Linked DNA regions of Schizosaccharomyces pombe. The gene in region 1 interacts genetically with each later gene. Each region holds a gene or a part of one and is shown in the gene's direction. Other genes may lie near its edges. The genes, in order: ate1, SPOM_SPAC22G7.03, his7 and osh42.

Region 1 (5,385 bases):
TCCGGACGTTGAGCGTATTGCTCAAACTGCTGCTATGCCTGAAGTTCGTGCCCTTGCTTCTCATGCACTTACTACTCTAAACAAGGCTGCAGCTGCTCAGGCTGCAAAGGCTGCAAACAATTCTGAGAAACAGGCGTTAGATAGCGCTTGTAAAGAATTACGTGAGGCCGTCCTTAAAAACACTAGTGTACCACATGAGTTGGCCAACAGTATCATAGATTATGTCTGCGATGCCTTAGCAGCATTGTATAAGTCAAATAATTTTGACAAAGACAAATGGACTTCGCAATTAGGTGTGCTTTATTTATCTCCACTTGTCGGGGAAGAATTGGCTTCACAAATATCATCAAAGATATATGATGACCTTCACGCCTTCTATAAGTCATTAAATTCTGTTGATGGGATTTCAAACCTTACTATTGAGGAAGAGGAACTAGTTAACACTGATTTTTCTTTGGCATACGGTGGCAGATTGCTTCTGAGTCATACCAATCTTCACCTTTATAGAGGTCATCGATACGGTGTTGTTGGTCACAATGGTTGTGGTAAATCAACCTTGTTACGCGCTATTGGTGATTACAAGGTTGAAAACTTTCCCTCACCTGATGAGGTTAAAACTTGCTTTGTTGCACATAGTCTTCAAGGCGAGGATACTAGTATGGCTATCCTTGACTTTGTTGCTCAAGATAAGGCGTTACTGACTATGAATGTTACCCGTCAAGAAGCTGCTGATGCTTTGCATTCTGTTGGTTTTACTGCGGAGATGCAGGAAAATCCTGTTGCTTCTTTATCTGGTGGTTGGAAAATGAAACTGGAGTTGGCTCGTGCCATGTTGCAGAAAGCTGATATTTTGCTTTTGGATGAACCAACAAATCATCTTGATGTTGCCAATATTGCATGGCTGGAAGCATATTTAACCTCTCAAAAGAATATTACTTGCTTGATAGTTTCTCACGACTCTTCATTTTTGGACCACGTGTGTACTGACATCATTCATTATGAAGGTGTTAAAAACCAGGCAAAAAAGCTTGGTTATTATCAAGGTAATCTTTCAGCTTTTGTCAAGGTCAAACCGGAAGCTAAATCATACTATACATTGACAGCCACAAACGAGAAGTTTGTTTTTCCACCTCCCGGTATCTTAACTGGTGTGCGCTCAAACACACGTCTCATATTAAAAATGACAAACGCTTCTTATACATATCCCAACGCGAAGAAGAAGTCATTAGATAATGTTACCGTTGGGTTATCTTTATCTTCTCGTGTTGCCATTTTAGGTCCTAACGGTGCTGGTAAATCAACGCTTATTAAAGTTCTTATCGGTGAAGTAATCCCTCAAGAAGGAAAAGTTTTCAAGCATCCCAACTTGCGTGTGGGTTACGTTGCTCAGCATGCCTTTCATCACTTGGATCAACATCTGGAAAAAACGCCAAGTCAATATATTCAATGGCGTTATGCTGGAGGACAGGACCGCGAAGTTTCAGAGAAGGAATCTCGAAAACTTACCGAAGAAGACCGTGCTCAGCTTCAGCGTGATATTACGGTCAATGGCGAACGTAGAAGAGTGGAAGCTTTGATTGGCCGTCAAAAACTAAAAAAGTCATTTCAATATGAAATTAAATGGTTTGGGAAGCCTCATAAATACAATACGTGGGTGTCTCGAGAAATATTGCTTGAAAATGGGTTTCAAAAGTTTGTACAGGCTTTTGATGATATGGAATCTTCTCGCGAAGGTCTCGGTTTCCGTGAATTGATTCCCGAAGACATCAGGGCACATTTTGAGGATGTGGGCCTTCCTGGCGACATTGCTGATTACAGCCCCATTAGTAGTTTGTCTGGCGGTCAAAAGGTTAAAGTTGTTATTGCTGCGTGTCTCTGGAATAACCCCCAGCTTTTGGTTTTGGACGAACCTACAAACTTTTTGGACAGAGATGCATTAGGTGGTTTAGCTGTTGCTATTCGTGATTGGGAAGGTGGGGTCGTTATGATTTCACATAATGAAGAATTTGTTTCTGCGTTGTGTCCTGAACACTGGCATGTAGAAGCGGGTAAGGTTACCGGTAAGGGCAAGACCGCTGTTGACGATGGAAAGTTTGAAGATCTGTCGGAGAAAGATTTGAAAAAGATTGAGGCTAAAGCTACCAAAAAGAAGAAATTGACGAGAAATGAAATCAAGGCCAAAGAAAGACGTGCTAGAGAGAGAGAATTAGCATGGTTACAATCTCCCAAGGGCACCGAAAAACCCAAATCATTCTTCTCTGATGATGAAGAATAATTTCAGACTAATTTTTTAATTCGCTCTTTGGATTGACAAGTTGAGAGTTGTTTATCCTTTAATTTTCTTTAGACGGTGCTAGTTGTTGAAGTTGGTCTTTTACATATTTACGGTTTACTGATATACCTTTTAGACTTAATTTATATATATAGAACTTGGTGGATGGTATCGTGGATAATATTAATATTAGTCGCTTTTTATATGTTTTGTTTATCGTTAGTGCATGTTATAGTTGTATTAGACGTATACACTTTTGTCATTGACTCTTGTAAAAGGTGTCAAGAGAACTATGTATTTTTTGGGTTTTTTTCTAGATATTCGTATGAAAATGTGATAGACTTTTTAATATGATTAATCAGGAAATTTCTATAAACATGCACTCAACGAAAAATAGGGTACTTAATCTTCAAGAAATAATTGGTGTAGTCTTAGTTCACCTACTCAAAGAGCCTTCAAAATAAAGGCAAAAGAACTGAACTAAGAGTTTTACTACTGATGATATAGTTCATTTAATATTAAACAGGGAAATTTTCAAACAATAGTATGGTATTGGATAAACTGTTGTACACAGGGTACAACGTCAGTACTGAATGTGGTTATTGTAAAAGTGGAAGAAAGACCGAGCATTTTGGTTTATTAGCAGAAAAGCTCAGTTGTGAAGTAAGCGTATAACTCTGCTTTTTGCAAATTTTGCTAACCTACATTTAACCTCAGGACTACCAGCGATTGATTGATTTGGGATGGAGGTAAAAACCTTTATTAGTTAACATTGCTAATATAAAATAAGACGTTCAGGACATTATTTATATAAACCCAACGGGAAAACATCTTGCTGTTCTCTTTATACAATCAGGTACTTAGCATAAGTCGCCAAATATGATTGATTACTAACCGCCGAATGTTGAAGACTCGACAGCTATAATTTTAAAATTGCAAAAGAGCAAAAGAAGGCAATAAAAAAATGGGTCAAATATGTAAATGGAAAGCCATTAAAACCTATGAAAAGCGAAATTAGCACAGATTATTTGAACAATGCCTTTCAAACTATAGAATCGCTCGGAGCTGAAAAATACTCTGTAACTATGGAGCCTTGCACTTACACCGATGAGAAATTTGAAGTCTTCAAAAAGTATCAAATGCAAGTTCATTTAGAGAAAGAAGAGGAAATCACGAAAAAAGGATTTAGCAGGTTTCTTTGCAACTCTCCTTTATTTAATGAAGACAAGGGGATAAAGTATGGTTCTTATCATCAGATGTATCGATTTCAAGGAAGGCTTGTGGCAGTTGGAGTTTTAGACTTGCTACCACATGGTGTTTCTAGCGTTTATCTGTTTTATGATCCTGATATGTCTAAGTTTTCTCTGGGAAGGATTAGTGCCTGCCGTGAAATCTGGCTTGCTCTTGAATGCGGATATCGGTACTACTACATGGGTAGGCTAAAATGTCATTTATTTAATTACGTTGATTGACCTTGCAGGTTATTATATTCACACATGTCCCAAAATGAAGTATAAGGCAACGTATAGTCCATCGTACCTGCTTAATCCCGTACGTATACATTCGATTTTAACTTGAACTAATACAAACAGGGTACAAATAAATGGATACCAATTGAAAACTTTACTTCACTTTGGAATACTGGTGCTCCTAAATATATAAGTTTCGGGGATGAAAATAATAGTGATATTCAAACTGCTGTTGACTACGATTCTTCTGAAGATTCATCTCAAAACGAAGATGATTATACACTGTTTAATCGACAGCTTCCTGGAATTCTTTCAGTAAATGTTGCTGAGTCCTTGGTTTCGGAGAATTTTGCTAACATTGGCAATTCAACTTTCCCCACAAGAGTATGTCTTTATTTTTGAGTAACAATGCTAATTCTTCAGCATGTTTTAAGTTATTTCCCTCAGGTTAAACATTGGTTTGTTGAAATCAATGCTGCTGTGGGCGAAGAAGTCGCAAAGAGTTATACACTTGTTTTATCTAGTTGATATATTATCTGTCTACGTGTTTTATTTGCTTAAGATATGAACATCCTACTTAAAAATCTTAATGAACTCCAGGATGGCTTTGAGAGTAAATTTTACAATGTGACTTACAGAATTAAGTTAATTTTATGCTACTACTTATGTGTGATAGTTTCCTCTTTTATGTCCCTTAATCGAAGTTGATAGCATTTCTAATAATATAAAATACTGCCGGCTTATATATTTATTTTGTAATTATTTATAACTGCACGCTACCTAAAATGTCACCCTAACATAACTTAGTGGGCTTTTCCGTTACGAGTTGTTTGCAACCAAACACAAAAACGGGTTTACCGGTACTTCACGACTTAATATAATCGCAAAACAGTGCATAGTAGGTGAGAAAGGATTTTATCATTTAGAGAAGAGATTTTACTTTAATTGTTCTTCTTTTTTCTTTCTCAAGTGTTACTGCTAGGTTCTCATTCTATAGAGTATTAGCAAACACCAGATTTCGATGACATTTCGTGTCAAAATTGGGTTGACTGCATTTTAAAAATAATTAATCACGGTTGGCTTACAATTCAACTTCTAGGCACTGATTTTTTCTTCGAATGCCATTTTGAAGTTATTTTACTTTTACTTTCCTAAAACAAGGTGTTGTAATAAGGGATTGTTCTTTTATCTATTTTTGTACCATTTGTATAAAGAATTCATTAATTTGCACTGTGATTTTCTTAATACAGGCTTAAATCCATTTACCGCTTCCATTTTTTCTTTGAATAAGTTACACCATTTCTCAACGATAAATACTTGTATAGAGAGGTGTATTTACTTGTTCAATTTCATTCTTTATTGAAAATCACTGATTTTGATTTGATTTTTATTGCGTTTAAGCTGTATGCTACTTGGAAGCTGCTTCTCAAGTATAATATTGCCTTTGCAACAAAGTTTTTTTATATCTCTTTTTACAGGATTTCGCATGTTTTATCTTTTTTGTTGAGGTGCTTCACTGATTCTATTTTGTACCTAAACTCGATTTTTGTGCGGATATATTATGAAGAAGTATTTGTGGGGTACTCCAACTACGAATACCGTATTTACAGGCAAGCAACCAAAGTATACCAAGGAGGTTCGCAA
Region 2 (4,480 bases), 1.3 Mb from region 1:
AAGCAATGCTGCCACAAATCATTGATCATATTCAGGAAGAAAAATCCATTCGATTGTTGTATATTTTAGCCTCTTTACTTAGTTTTCCAGGGTACGCAATAGTAGAAGAAAAAGTTAGCTGGCGTACTCTGGAATTCTGGACGACATTAATTGAGGATTTTTCGATGAGCAAAGCTGCTACGGATCCTTCAAAGGATGAAATATTCAAGCAAATAGCATTTTCTGTAGTCGAAAAAGCATGGTGGAAAATGTTATTACCCTCCCCCGAACAATGGAATTCTTGGCCTTCTAGTTCGCGTGATTCATTCAATAGTTACAGACGTGATTTGGGTGATCTTTTAGAAAGTTCTTATTCCATTTTTGGAGAAAGGCTTTATGCTATGTATATAACGACTATTGAGAATTTCTTCTCGGATGGTACAGGAAGCCCTCAATCATTAGAGGTTTCATTTTATTGCTTATGTTGTATTTTAGAGTACGACACCAATGACAGTGATACGTTAGATGCCTGGCTTACTCGGTTATTTGAAACGAGTTTTGCTATAAAGGCTTCGGCTTTCCAAAACCCGCAACTATTAAAAACCTGTTCTCAATTATTAAGCAGTTGCTCTTGCTTTCTTCAAAATCACCCTCAATATCTTAATATATCTTTGCCAGTTTTATTCGATGCCTTACACATTTCTGAAACTTCAATACAAATGACTGTCTCTCGTTCAATACACACTCTATGTACAACTTGTGCATCCCATCTATTAACTGAAATCGACGGATTCATGGCGGTGGTTGAAGAACTAACACCCAAGCTGGTATATGTACCTTCTGTGCTAGAAAAGATTTATAGCTCCGTTGGATATGTTACACAACGTATAGAAGATATTGAATTAAGAATCAGTTATCTGATGAGACTTTTAAACTGCATTCTCGCACAACTTCAACCAAGTTTATATCCTAATCTTGAAATATTCGAAAACGTTTTGAAATCCTGCCTCCAAAGCGTAGCCGGAGTGGCCTTAAGTCAGAGTCCAATTGGCGAAAGTCCAATAATTGATGTTGAGCAATCTACCCAGGAAACAACTTTTTGGCAGCAATCGTGCATTGCAGAATTTCAAGCAAAACTCATTTCCTTTTTGACCCATTCCGAGTCTATGGCGTTACAGTATTCCGACGTCGTTGGGGTAGGTGATCTGTTAAACCGAAAATACTAATATGATATAGTTAATTTGCAAGATTATGATTGCTGGTCTTAATGAAGTAGAGCCTTCTCCATTTTCATTGCCTATAGTAACTACCATTCAATACTTCTGTGACAGATTTACAGAATTTCCGGCAGCAGTTTTGCTAACGTTGGGATCAGCAATTTTGACATGTCCTTACGGCCAGACTGATATTATTGACAAAGTGCTAATTGATATGTGCTCATCGATTCAAAATTCTGTTGTTATAATCAATGAAGGTAAATAATTAGCAGCAATGTGCCATACTAACTAAAATAGAATCATTTATGAACAATATCGACATTACAGTCGAATTATATCACTTCTTTTCAATAATTCTTCAAAAACACCCCTCATTTTTAGAAACGATGTATCCAGATTTTACCCAACTTATTTTAAACCGCGCGATTAATTTGCTTGGCAAGCCTGAGAGATTGTTAGAATCAGCAGCCGGCCAATTTATTGTAAGTGATCATTATCTGTTAAAAATATTAACATTAAGATTTCATTCATTACGTCCGAAAAAAGCGACCTCCTAAACACTCATACAGATTTCGTGAATGCAATTCGAAGTCCTCTTATTGCTAAAATACTATTGGTAAACAATATTTATGCTTTTTTTGCAAACTAATACTGATTTATAGGGGTTCGGTGGAAATGCATCACGGAGCTCTTTACCGTTGCTTTCAGATATATTAGGAAAATTAAAGGCACAAAATTTCTCTGCGACAAGAGCATGCCTTACTCAGTCACTTGAAGAAGAAGGATTTCCTTCACGGAATGTTTCAAATGAGATCAAACGTCGATTTTTAACAGATCTTCTTAAGTAAGCATTATTTGTCGTTTTCATCACGTCTATGTAATGATTATCTTGTTAACAACAAATTCTAGGGCACGAATAAAAGACAAAGTAAAACAATTTTGGATACTTTGCAAAGGACTAGAAAGTACTCCTTATGGCAATTCAAGCTGGACCTTTTAAATCATGTAATAAATAAAATAGCTTGGTAGGAAACTGCCAAGCTACATAGTCTCCAGTTAATTAACTTTGTATAATAAAAGATAAGCAAAATGCTGCTTATTCTAAAATTTACGAGAAATAACATTCGTTTTTTTAAAGAAGTAAATAGGCTGAAATTTTTTGATCAAATTGGTTTTTAAGATTTTCGAGTATTTATTGAGCACAACACGTAAATTATCTTTATACTACTTAATGCAACAACTAATTAAAGAGCATTTTGGAAATGGGGGAAAGGTCAGGTCAACGAGCATTGAATACCCCATTTTTGTTCATTCTGGAAGTATCTCTGCTATGTTGCTTACTTTAGTAAATGCCCTTGAGTGCAATGATGTGGACGAAGGCGTGTTAGTATATCCAACAGGTTCGACTAATCCAATGGAAAACATTCTAAGAATGGAAAATCCATTTGATGGATTTTTAGCTAAGGAAGCTTATTCCATTCATTTTCAATCAGTTTTAGAACGAATTCAATTGATTCCTTGTTCTCATGTGGATGATTTAGAAAAAATAGTTGAAGTACGTTTAAAGCACGCAAAATTAATACTGGGAATAGCAGATATTTCCAAACTGCTAAAAATTAGGGGTTGCTTAAATGGACGTTACCTATCTAGGTATTTGATGCTTTGCTTACAAAATAGTAAAATACTTATAGTTTGTGAGACAGGAGGTTTACAAGAACGAATACCTATTATTGAAGATATTTCAATTAATGAGGATACACAACGTACCGTTAGCTTAGAAACTATTTATGCTACATGGATACCAACATTCTGGGAATCGAAAAGAAAATCGCATGAGAAAGATGAAGGACGATTAGTCGATCGAAGACACAAAGTTTTAGTAGATTGGCTTGCTAATACATGCTTTCGTGGCATGAGTTTAAAAGATCATTCTGCATTATAATTTTCATAACCAGGCGCTTAATATAATATTTAGTTCTAATGAAAAGGCATATAAAACATTGCAGATTATCAACTATATACAAATGTTTAATATAACTATTTAATATCTGATTGAAATCACAATCGTAGGTTTGTGTTGTATTACTAGTTTTCATTAGGTAAACCTGGCTTGCTATGACCAACACTTCAACTCCTAGAGAAAGAGGTTATAGTCAACTGTTTGAAATGAGAGATGGATGCGTGGAAAGAAGTAATTATTTTTATAATATTCCATTATAAATTTTAACAAATTAGATTACCAAAACAACTGAAAATGATGGTGTATCGACGTGTTCCTTAAGTTCTATTGCTTTTGATCCCTACTCAGAATTAGTATGGACTGGACATAAAAATGTAAGTTAGATTAAAGATTAATTATGAAACTAAGTAAATTCTAGGGTCAAATTAAATCTTCTTTCGGACCCTCACTAACATCGTATACTCAATTCATTGGGCATGAGGGTCCGGTGCACCAAGTATTACCACAGGAAAGGGGTGTATTTTCCCTTTCTAGTAAATCTTTACGATTGAGTAATCGCAAAGGAACAATAAGATGGAGATATCAGTAAGTATATCATGATATGCATTCTTGATCTAGTAGTTCCGTACCTTGTGTTCAGCGATCTATGATCATTTTGTATTCATGCTTTCTATGTTCAAAACATGCAGTACTAATCTCTAGGGATTCTGATTGTATAGATTACCGGGCTATGTTCTACCAGAGTCGTAATAATCCCGAAGTTGTTATAGGAGGATATCATCAAAAGCTTACGGTTGTTAATGCTGAACGAGGAATTTCAATTCATAAGGTAATGTTCCTTTGTGTCCTGTATCACTAACATTTAATAGGACAAAAACGTTAGTGACATTTTCATAATGCGAAGGAATAGACTTCTCTGTTGTGGATCTACAAATGGTGAAATTATTCTTCGCGACCCAAATAGTTTTCAGCCAGTCAATAAAGTTGTAGCGCATACAGGCACTATATCAGATATTGACACTTCTGGAAACCTTTTATTATCATGTGGTTATTCATTGCGACATGGCACATACATGCTAGACCCATTTGTTAAGGTTTGGGATCTTCGAAATCTATCTAGTCTTGTTCCTATTCCATTTCCTGCTGGTCCTACTATCATCCGTATGCATCCAAAGCTGTCTACCACTGCTGTTGTTTGCTCTTGTTCGGGTCAATTTCATATTGTTGATACAGGAAATCCCTTGGATGCAAAGTTGATGCAAATTCCGTTAACTTCTTATCTAACTGGGATGGATATAGCTTCGACTGGTGATGCTATGGTTTT
Region 3 (5,048 bases), on another chromosome or scaffold:
AGAAAAATATATATATAGTATACAGGATAAAACTTTTTTTCAAAAATTCAGATTTAGCTGATGTTTTTTAAGTTGTTTCAAGCAAGGTTTCATCTCTTGCTGATGCCAATAATTATACTCTTAAGTTCGAGTGTAACTGATAAAAAAAAATCAATCTTTGTAGTATAGGAGTTTCAAAAAACGTTTACATTCTTCAAACCAAAAAAAGCTAAAGGGCGCATTATCATAGAAAAAGTTTTTTCTAAATTAGCTCCGCAATCAGCATAGAGGAAATATGAAAACAATATACCGCACTTTCAAGAACTCAATAATAAAACGTACCTGAATTACAATTGCTCGACCTTTCTCCGAGAAAGTTACTTTGATAGGATCAGAGAGAAGATTAGCTTATAAGAAGATAGGTATCAACATCCGATCAATTTAATATCGGAGATCTGAACAACTTGTCTCATCATTTCCTTCTCCTGGTCGACTTTATGGAACTAAAGGGTTACAATTGCCATTCGTTTATTGATCGATAGTAAGCTTTCTTGATATCATTAAATAGGTTTTATAGTTATTTATCACCAAGTGTACATGTATTTCTAAAGTCATCCACTATGATTTAATCCAACGCCAATACAGATAAGTTTTAGTCTTTCAGTTATTTGAAGTTTCGATTCATAGGATTTTGAAATACAAGTTCAGCTGGCAATAGGAAACAGGTTAATTGCAATTAACAGAATATTACGAAATGTTGATAAAAATTCTAAATGCCGATATTGGTAGATGGGAAATTTGGTACCTGATATGTAGCAGAGTGACTTCATTTGCTCACTGATACAAAGCACTTGGCACGAGCAAACCACACTATAGGATGCTCTTATTTTAATAATTGGTGTCTAATAGTGCTTTTAAATACTTATAGAACATCTTCTCAATTCATATTATAATTCTTTCTTTTCCAATCTTGCATAGTTTTTAATCAACTGAGCAACGTGCATTGAAGATTTATTTCTTTGACGATAAAGCCCATACTTGGAGTATTTAAAACAAAGGTGTTGGAATTGGACAATATTTTAATCTATTTCGTCTTTTATTTTTTTTCGTAGTAACTTCTTTATACATAATGAATATCGACGAATGGCAGCGGATTGAAGAAACGGCGCCTGGAAATAAATGCTTAGCTAAGCTTAATGAATTGGAAAGTATATTAAAGGATGCAAAGAAATCTTGCCTAAAAGATCCTACTACATCTATGAAGGAATTGGTAGCATGCTCTGAAAAAACACAACAAGTTTTTGATGATCTGAAACGTACCGAGAAGAAGTTTCACACGTCTTTAAATCGATTCGGTAAAACTCTTGAGAAAAAATTTAACTTTGACTTAGAAGATATCAAGCTTCATTCATCGTTTGAAAGTAAAAAGCGTGAAATTGATACTGCTTTATCATTGCATTTTTTTCGACAAGGCGATGTTGAGTTAGCCCATTTATTTTGCAAAGAAGCTGGAATTGAAGAGCCCTCCGAAAGTCTTCACGTTTTTACGCTTCTCAAATCTATCGTTCAAGGGATTCGAGATAAAGATTTAAAGTTGCCCATCGAATGGGCCTCTCAGTGTCGTGGTTATTTAGAAAGAAAGGGAAGCAGCTTAGAATATACGCTTCAGAAATATCGACTTGTTTCTAACTATCTCACTACTAAGGATATTATGGCTGCGATACGATATTGCCGCACAAATATGGCCGAGTTTCAAAAGAAACATTTAGCGGGTAAGTTTAAATGATCATAAATATATTTAGGGAATTTTTGGTTTTTTTAACTTATATAAGATATCCAAAAGACAATGATAGCTTTGTTCTTTTGTTCCAGGAATGAGGTCCTTTCGGGTACAAATGACTCGCATGATTCCATCCATCATATAATATCAAACAACGCACAACTGAATATTCCCCAAGAGTATATTGATGTACTTGATCTTGATTGGAAATCCCTTGAACTTTTATTTGTTCGAGAGTTCTGCGCTGCATTGGGTATGTCCTTGGAATCCCCGTTGGATATAGTAGTAAATGCTGGGGCCATTGCTCTACCTATTCTGTTAAAGATGTCCAGTATAATGAAGAAAAAGCATACAGAATGGACTTCACAAGGGGAACTTCCGGTTGAAATTTTTTTACCCAGCAGCTATCATTTCCATAGTGTTTTCACTTGTCCTGTTAGCAAAGAACAGGCTACGGAGGAAAACCCTCCTATGATGATGTCTTGCGGTCATGTTATTGTCAAAGAAAGTCTTCGACAATTATCTCGAAATGGCTCTCAACGATTCAAATGTCCCTACTGTCCTAATGAAAATGTTGCTGCAGACGCTATTCGTGTCTACTTTTAAAAGGAATTTAAGATAATGATTTTATTTCAACTAAATTAAGAGTATTATAAATGCCACCAAAAGACTGTTTCCTAACCAAGCAAGGATTTCGCTATGCCAACGAGAATCCTAATTTGCGAAAGTGGTTTCAAAATAATGACTTAAAAAATTGATGGAAGTATTTATGAAGCTAAAAATTACTGTTTTTATCTTTGATGATTCACCTACTCTCCCTACTTGAGATCTCTTTTGAGTCAGAAAATCTGACGCATTGTAACCTGGTTACCTAAAGGTGATTTATGATTGTTACTTGGGGCGATGTGAATCTTTCGTTTGCCAAACAGAAAAGTAGTTAGAGTTTTAGGGGTATTTGACTTACAAATGGCTCTTTTACCATTTTTTGATCTTACGAACTTTGAGAGTGATGCTTCTGAAGAGTTAGGATGGCTTAAGTACGTCGGCAGAGTGCAAACAAGAGTGTTTCCTCAGCATTTCAAAGATAATCTCGAAAAAGTTCGCAAAATTTCGGAAACGATTGATGTGATCGTTGACACGACTGCTGAACTTGGACCAGAGGCCTGCGTCAACCTTTTGAACGCTGGTGCACTCGCCATACTGGTTAATGAAGAAATGCTAAACGAGTTGGCAGACATCTCTCCGAATCGTTTGGTTTTGAAGACAGACACTACTGATATTGGAAAAATTGAAAAACTTTCACAAGTTGCTGGTTCTATTCAATGGATCGGCAGTGCTGAGAATTATCCCCCTGACTTTTTTGAAAGAGCCAGCAAGATCATTCACAAAGCTGTAATGCCTGAGGGTGGAGGCCGAACTTTATATTTGGAGTTCCCCGAACAACCATCTATGGAGGTACTGAAATCTTTTTCTGTTCACTCTGTCGTTCCCGTTCTGTCAAGTTCTTTCTTGACAGTGAAGCCTGCCGAAGAGCCCAAGAAGTTATCATTAGCTGATCTCATTTTGATATCTGCCAATACTGATCGTGAGGATGGACTATTTTCTACTTTAGTCGTCAATGAGCTCGGTATTGCACTTGGTCTCGTGTATTCTAGCAAGGAAAGCGTTGCTGAGTCTTTGAAGACTGGCACTGGAGTTTATCAATCCCGCAAACGTGGCTTGTGGTACAAGGGCGCATCTTCTGGTGCTGTTCAACACTTAATTCATATTGACGTCGATTGTGATGAAGACTGCTTGCGCTTTGTCGTCTATCAAACCGGTAAAGGTTTTTGTCATCTTGACACCTTGCATTGCTTTGGACAAGCTTCAGGACTTTGTCAGTTAGAAAAGACTTTAATCGATAGGAAGAATAATGCTCCTGAGGGATCTTATACTGCTCGTTTGTTCTCCGACCCAAAGTTATTGCGTGCAAAAATTATGGAGGAAGCTGAAGAGTTGTGTGATGCTACCACCAAAGAGAATGTTATTTGGGAAATGGCTGATTTGATGTACTTTGCCATAACCCGCTGCGTCGGTTCGGGTGTTAGCCTTAATGACATTAGTCGTCATCTTGATTTGAAACATCGTAAAGTTACAAGAAGAAAGGGAGATGCTAAAGTTGCATGGCAAGAGAAACTTAAAGACAAAGGAGGAGTGGCAAACACGTCTTATACTGCCTGAATTTTTTAAATTTCTACTCTTCATTCGCAGATGATAGCAGTCGGTCTAAGGTGTAGTCTACTAAAACCTTGCTAATGCGGAAATTTTTACTTTGTGTAATTATTTAATAATGAAAAAAAATTCATATTTGCTGTTTGTACTAATATTATTTGTTTTATATTGTTTAATTTGAGCGCTGGATAGATAATAACTCAGACTTCATTAGCCACTGGCTGGTATTTGTTGCTCGACTTATTCCTACCAAATATCGACCTTGTCGCTGTGTATACCTTCTGTAATACACTAGAATTAGTTGAACTCTCTGTTTCAACATCATCTGCTTCACTGAATATAAGGCTCTTAGGCTTTTTCCATCTCCTGAGAAGTAAGCTACTTGCAAGAACACTAAGAGAAGAAAACATCATAGCAGCACTAGCCCACATAGGATTTAAGTAGATTCCCCATGGAAGGAAGAAGCCCATTGCAATAGGAATCATGACAAAGTTATATATGCAAGCCCACACAAGGTTCATTTTAATTCTTTTAACGATAACTCTAGACAAATCAAAGGATACTGCGGTATCAAGTAGAACGCCTTTACGTACAAGTATTACATCTGCACTTTCTAAAGCAATGCCTGATCCATTAATGGGAGCAATGCCAACATCAGCCAACACAAGTGAAGGCGAATCATTTATACCATCACCTACCATAGCGACACAATGCTTCTGATCTTTTAACTTCTGAATAATTTCAGCCTTTTGAGAGGGAACTGCTTCCGCGTAAACATCAGAGAAATCGATTTCTAGTCCTTGGGCAACGCGTCGGGCAGTGGCTTTTTGATCACCCGTCAATAAACAAACCTTTTTACCTAATTGTTTTAAAGCGGATACAGTTTGGTACGAGTCGGGCCGCACTTGGTCCATACAGCCCAAGAAACCTACAAACTGGCCATCGATAGCGATACGAACACAAGTAAGCCCACTACTAGAAGAAAGCTTCAGCTTTGAATCAAAGTCATCAGGTATCGACACGTTGTTATGTTCCAGTAACAGTGAATTCCCAAGCAAAGCATGAAAAGTCCGCTCTT
Region 4 (5,850 bases), on another chromosome or scaffold:
CGTACAAATCATCTTATATAGCCCATGATACCGCCCGCCATAATTCCAGAGTTGCTGGTGCTTCAGTTAGTATGGCTCCAGAACCTTCCGACTTCTTATGGGATAATTTGTCATTGGCGTGGAGCACAAGGTTATTCAATCGAATGATTGGAAACATATTGTTTATCATTTTAATTATCGCTTGGATTATTGAAACCGCTTTGGTTGCAATATTCATATCAAATTTATATCACCTTGGTAGTGTTTGGCCCTGGCTTCAGCAGCAGCTTACATCTCGTTCCGGTTTTTGGTCAATTGTGCAGGGTATTTTGAGTCCTGCAGTTGCGGGTTTTACATTTATGATTTTGGAAATAATCATGAGACGTATCTCCTATTGGCAAGGAAGTTTCACTAAGTCGTCTAGAGAACGTGGTGTTTTAAATAAACTACACATCATTTTCACCCTTGACAACTTCATCATTTATACCTTGATGGCTGTATTCTGGAGACTAGGTGTAATTATTGCCTATAAAACTAAGGAAGAAGGTAACTTTGCCGAAGGCATGTCGGCGTTTGCAACATTTGATACTGTTGGTTTGTCAGTTAGTTCTTTTGTTCAATTTTCAACCTTTTGGATTATGTTTATCGCTCACTCTACTTGTTCTTTTTTTGTCGAAATTGCTCAACCTATAACCTTGACAATTCGATTAATAAAGACAAAGTTTTTTTCTCCTACTCCTCGAGACTTACTAGAGTGGACCGCTCCAACCAAGTATGTTTACAGTCAAGTTCTCAACAAGTTAATATACTTTTTTACTATTGCTATTTGTTACGCTTGCATAAACCCTTTGGTCCTTTTGTTTGCAAGTGTATTGTTTTGCGTCAATTACTTAACACAAAAATATATTTTGATGTACGTATCAAATTCCTCAACCGAAAGTGGTGGTGGGTATTGGCGCCCAGTGGTGAATCGTATTTTACTGGGATTAGAATTAGCAAACATAATTCTGTTTTTATGCTTGTGGGTACAGGGAGGTCGTGTTCGCGCTTATTGCATAATTCCAAACTTTTCCTTTGCCATTGCCTTTAAGATATGGTGCATGTTTGCTCTTGATCCAAAATCTCATTACATGATTGAGGATCCATACATGAAGGTTGTGGAGCCCTTGGAAAATGAGATTAGTGAAAGTGAAATGTGCTTTGGTCATCCATCCACCTATGCCCCATTGCTCGTGCCGATGGTTCGATCTGATGCTCGTGCACTTCTTCCCTTGTTTTACAGCGGACGTACGGAAACACATAACAAGTTTGATTTTGCTACTGACTCTGATGATGCTTCTGAGAAGCACTTACGTGGTGAGGAAGAACCATTAGAAAACGTTGATTTTGTTGATATTGATAATGTGGATACAGCCAAAGAAGTGCATGATCAGCAACAAGTTCAGCAACTCAAGAAAAATTTGTCCCGATCTTATACTCGTAGCCGTGGTGTTTCTTTAAGAGCTAGATTGAATGAGGAGGAGCTGCCTTTAACAGAATCTATTACCCAAGATTCTCAAATTAGTATACCAGAAACTCTTGAATCCCAAAGTACGGAAATTACACCAATCAATGTCTCCGAACATTATGATAAATATTACCACATTTTTTAATGGTAACTTAAACTTTTCCTTGGAATTCGAGCTTTTGTACAAAAACTTTATAACTGTTCAAATTTACTTTGGCAAAGATACATATTTGAAAACTTTTTATTTCCTTAATTCTCAACCGATTTTGTTTTGCTTAACATTTGTTTTCTATGCTCCGTTTCTTATTTGTGAGCTCTTGAGAAGAATTTAAGTGTGCTTGTATTCTTTAGGTCTCTTCTCCGACCTTTTTAAATGAAGATGAATCACCTAGATTTTGTTGTGGTGTTTACTTGATTATTTTGCGTTTGATTCATTCATTAATTTGATAGCCATCTGTTTGGTTATCTCTTTTGCGTTGTTTTCTTTCGTTCTCCTTATATTTTCCCTTTGCTTATTGTTGTTTATGTCTGCATACCTTTCTTTTCATCCCATCCCAATTTTTTTTTTTTTTTTTTTTTTTTTTAACATTTCTTGTCATAAGATCATGTTTTTTGTCTTTTCTTATTTCGCACAACTTTTTATACCTTTGCAACAAATGTCATTTTTGTTGAAACGAACATGTGATTTATCGTTCGGCAATAGCTAACTTTATGTTAAAATCAATTCTTCCCAACAAGATTACTTTTCCCACCATAACCTTGTAATTATAACAGATAGTTTGGTACATTTGAATAGATTGCTTTGACAATAATGAGTAGTAGTTTGTTAGAAATGGAGGCGCGCTTGAAGTTTTTTTGTACTTTAACTGTTTAAATAATTAAATAAACAATTAGTTTCAACAAACATCGATTATGTTAAAAAGTCGTAAAAACATGCGTCTACCAGCTGGCAGTTTCGAATCTGCTAGGTATAAATATGCAAGGCATACAACCTTTCTATGTAAAAAATATTATACATAATGTATTAAAGAATGCTAATCAAATAAGAAAAGCTTCGTATGTATTTTGCTTGCTCATAAATAGTCATTTATTTACGATCCTTCGTGCCTTCTACTGACCATTTTGCAGCTTTTATATACCACGATAAACCACGTTAAATAATTTAAATAATAAAGTCATTACTGCAGTATAATTACAGTGCAGAATGGTGTACCCTTTGTAAAATGACACTATTTTGACGTAGGAGAATAGTAGGACTGCGTTAAGCAAGAGCAGTCGAACCAACATCGCCCAATCCATGGTCTGTCGATTTTATTCTTTTACCAAACACGATAGCATTTAATTACACGATCGACAATGTCGGAAACATCAGAACAAATGGAAGAGACTGTGCAATCTGGTAATGAACCCATTTCTAAGTAAGTACCACATATGTTCTTTAATCAAATGTTTACATTTTACTAACATGTTTTTTCCTTATGATAGGAGCACTTGGATGGTATGAATTGTACTGAGTCCTATAAGATTGAAGGCATAATCAATCTGCTTTCAGCCTTATGCAAGGAATCTTACTTTTTTCTTTGACATTGTAACATTTTACTTACTTTTTCTTCAAAAAAGGGGTTCATCAAGAACTTGGCTACATTGTAAGTATATTCAGTTAAAAGAAACAAAATTGGAAATATGGTATCTTGAGAAAAAAAAAAGGTAAATTTGAACACGATGCATTCTTTTCCAACGGGAAATGTTCATTCGATTTTTAGTTTCATTCAAATCTATGTGATTTTTGTAAAAATTTGAAATATAAAAGGAACTTTTTTTAAGCGTAAAATTGCTTATAATTGTCTTATTTCCAGCAATTTGCCCGGCTTTCAAATGGCTGGCTGGTTTAGATAATGAAATAACGCGTCAAAATATGGACAAGTGCTTATTTTTGCTGTTGTTAAATTGTTTTTTACTCATGTTCTTTGCTTGTCATGCCTTTAGCTTTCATATTGATATGTGCTATTGTCCTTTCGAGTCTAACATTAAAGAGGACTTTCCAGCGCCATTTCTTAATTTTCCATCTCATAACTTTCTAGTTTTTTTCTTTTTGTTTTTCAGAGAGGAATTGTCTTTTTCTCATGTCGATTGCTCTTTTTAATCTGTATTTGAATACTAACTTTACTTCACAGTACTGGTGACTTGTCCACACTTTCAGCTCCTTCTTTCATTTTATCAGGGACATCTTTGCTCGAATACATGTCTTATTGGTTTGAGTTTCCTGAGCTATTCGTAACAATTGTCGATTTTCCCACTCCTAAAGAACGTATGCTGGCTGTTCTCAAGTGGTACATAACTGGTCTTAGTCGTGAATACGCATCCCGGAATAAGAACGTACGTCTTTATAAAATTTTATCATGTAATGTTAACCAAAATTTCAGTATGGTACTGAAAAGAAACCGTTGAACCCTATTTTGGGAGAGCTTTTTTATGGGTCATGGGATTCTAGCAAGGGTAAAGTGGAGCTTACTGCCGAGCAAGTATCCCATCACGGACCTGAATCAGCTGCTCATGTGGTTTGTAAGGAAGCCGGTATCACCGTTGATACGCATAATAAATACAGAAGTGGATTTTCAGGACGAACTGTATACGTCAACCAACTCGGCCAGCTTCGTGTTCATCTTGAAAAGTATAATGAGACATATTATATAACTCTGCCCAATATCTCCCTTGAAGGACTGTGGTTTATGGCACCTTATATTGAATTGTACGGTTCGACTTATATTGTTAGCAACACAAATTATATTACAAAGATCGATTATTCCGGCCGAGGTTACTTCAGAGGTACCAAGAATTCTTTCAAGGCTACTATCTTTGAGAAAAATGAAGATCCTGATTATATTGTTGAAGGTGTATGGACTGGCGAATCTAAATTGACTATTCCTAGTCTGAAAAGTACCATTTTTTTCTTAAGCATCCCTAGTCTTGAAGCTACTCCTATTACCGTCAAGCCTGAATCAGAAATGGGAGACTGGGAGTCTCGAAATGTTTGGAAAGAAGTGTCCGCTGCCTTAGCCAGTGGTAATTATGATATTGTAAGCTCGAAAAAGTCTACAATCGAACAATCACAACGTGATATGCGTAAGAAAGAAGAAGCAGAGGGAGCAGTTTGGGCCAGAAGATACTTCAAATGGGAAGAGCATGATAGCGATGCCAGGAATGCTTTAGCCCAAGCTGTTTTAGAAGTTATTGAACCAGGCTTCTGGATTTACATTGGTGACACTCATCCTTCATTGCCAGCAGGAGAACAACCTGTCAAACGGATGGAATAAATTTGTGTTACTTATATTTTTGTTTCTTAAATTTATGTGTGCTTTTCGGGCTGCTATAGTTTTCCGTCCTTAACAGTGTCCTTTTTTCTACTTTTGGGAGGATTGGCCCAAAAGCTCTCTTGGTTGTGCAATCAGGGCTTAAAATAATGCTTGAAAGTATATAGGTATCTTTCGCTCTTTAAACGTTCAACTGAAGTTTTACGATCAACGATTTTACTAAAGGTTCTTTTAACGGTTGGCTTTTAGTACGAAATCAGCACTTTTCATTTAGATTATCTATGCGGTATACTAGTTTATTACTTATATGTCGGTTACACATATGCATGTCAGGGAAAAAGCATTGCAATTTGATCTATACTCATTTCGAGATTTGGTAGTAGATTTTTTTTTTTCATTAAGTGATTTCTCGCTTTCTTTTTCAAGTTTATTTTTACATACTATTTGGTTTGTGATGTTTAGCTTGTATTTAATGCATTAATTGAAAATTACACTGTTCGGTGCATGAATAAATGTAGTGGTGTAGAGTTGGACTGGTTGATGAAATATGGTAATAATACCAAAGTAAATTGCTTCTGGTACAGTTAATAAATTAGCTTATAAGGCTAGTTCACCATTTATAATATTTTGTTACAAACGATTAAGTTGTTAATATTCATTGTTGAACGATTTTAAATCCTTTGAGACAAGTCTTTTATAAATTCAACGGAAGTACAGGAATGATTTGTTAGAATTGTACAACTATTGCAATTGGCTATTAATGAACGTGTTCAGTTCCAATTAAACGAATGAGGAAATCAGGAAAGCAACAAAGCGCATTGCCGTTTCCGAACGGAAAGTCCAAAAATCTAAGCAATAATAGATACACCGATATTAACCTAAATATTTGAAATGAAGCTGTTAATTTGTTTCTAAAAAAATAAGGGTATAACATCAGTAAACGAAATGAAGTTTCAGTATAAAGTGAAGATCCATTTTAACCATAAACGCAAAAGCTAAAAATTACAAAGGCAAAATATTGGTACCAAGATTTCTCATTACCAAACAATTTTA

What was found.
Region 2: mutations in ate1 (region 1) and SPOM_SPAC22G7.03 together harm fitness more than expected from each alone (negative genetic interaction), as found in Schizosaccharomyces pombe (one large-scale study listed by BioGRID).
Region 3: mutations in ate1 (region 1) and his7 together harm fitness less than expected from each alone (positive genetic interaction), as found in Schizosaccharomyces pombe (one large-scale study listed by BioGRID).
Region 4: mutations in ate1 (region 1) and osh42 together harm fitness more than expected from each alone (negative genetic interaction), as found in Schizosaccharomyces pombe (one large-scale study listed by BioGRID).

Annotation. Positions count from the first base shown.
Region 1 is NC_003424.3:2,076,164-2,081,548, reverse strand, and holds ate1 (arginine-tRNA--protein transferase), read left to right. Parts: upstream 1-2,705; 5' UTR 2,706-2,818; coding exon 2,819-2,935; exon of another isoform or gene 2,936-2,989; coding exon 2,990-3,021; exon of another isoform or gene 3,022-3,062; coding exon 3,063-3,128; exon of another isoform or gene 3,129-3,182; coding exon 3,183-3,706; exon of another isoform or gene 3,707-3,752; coding exon 3,753-3,823; exon of another isoform or gene 3,824-3,864; coding exon 3,865-4,125; exon of another isoform or gene 4,126-4,164; coding exon 4,165-4,269; 3' UTR 4,270-4,442; downstream 4,443-5,385. Other genes in the region: AAA family ATPase Elf1, read left to right, coding at 1-2,275; serine/threonine protein kinase Pit1, read left to right, coding at 5,303-5,385.
Region 2 is NC_003424.3:729,511-733,990, forward strand, and holds SPOM_SPAC22G7.03 (uncharacterized protein), read left to right. Parts: upstream 1-2,417; 5' UTR 2,418-2,427; coding exon 2,428-3,138; 3' UTR 3,139-3,249; downstream 3,250-4,480. Other genes in the region: karyopherin Kap111, read left to right, coding at 1-1,175, 1,216-1,453, 1,494-1,678, 1,717-1,812, 1,859-2,040, 2,106-2,196; poly(A)-specific ribonuclease complex subunit Pan2, read left to right, coding at 3,370-3,387, 3,432-3,530, 3,575-3,741, 3,859-3,985, 4,026-4,480.
Region 3 is NC_003423.3:2,039,824-2,044,871, reverse strand, and holds his7 (phosphoribosyl-AMP cyclohydrolase/phosphoribosyl-ATP pyrophosphohydrolase His7), read left to right. Parts: upstream 1-2,679; 5' UTR 2,680-2,725; coding exon 2,726-3,979; 3' UTR 3,980-4,139; downstream 4,140-5,048. Other genes in the region: gid2 (ubiquitin-protein ligase E3), read left to right, coding at 1,109-1,751, 1,812-2,365; Cu(2+) transporting ATPase Ccc2, read right to left, coding at 4,171-5,048.
Region 4 is NC_003423.3:557,285-563,134, reverse strand, and holds osh42 (oxysterol binding protein), read left to right. Parts: upstream 1-2,807; 5' UTR 2,808-2,842; coding exon 2,843-2,904; intron 2,905-2,971; coding exon 2,972-2,984; intron 2,985-3,106; coding exon 3,107-3,132; intron 3,133-3,660; coding exon 3,661-3,862; intron 3,863-3,909; coding exon 3,910-4,800; 3' UTR 4,801-5,308; downstream 5,309-5,850. Other genes in the region: Ca(2+) transporter Rsn1, read left to right, coding at 1-1,631.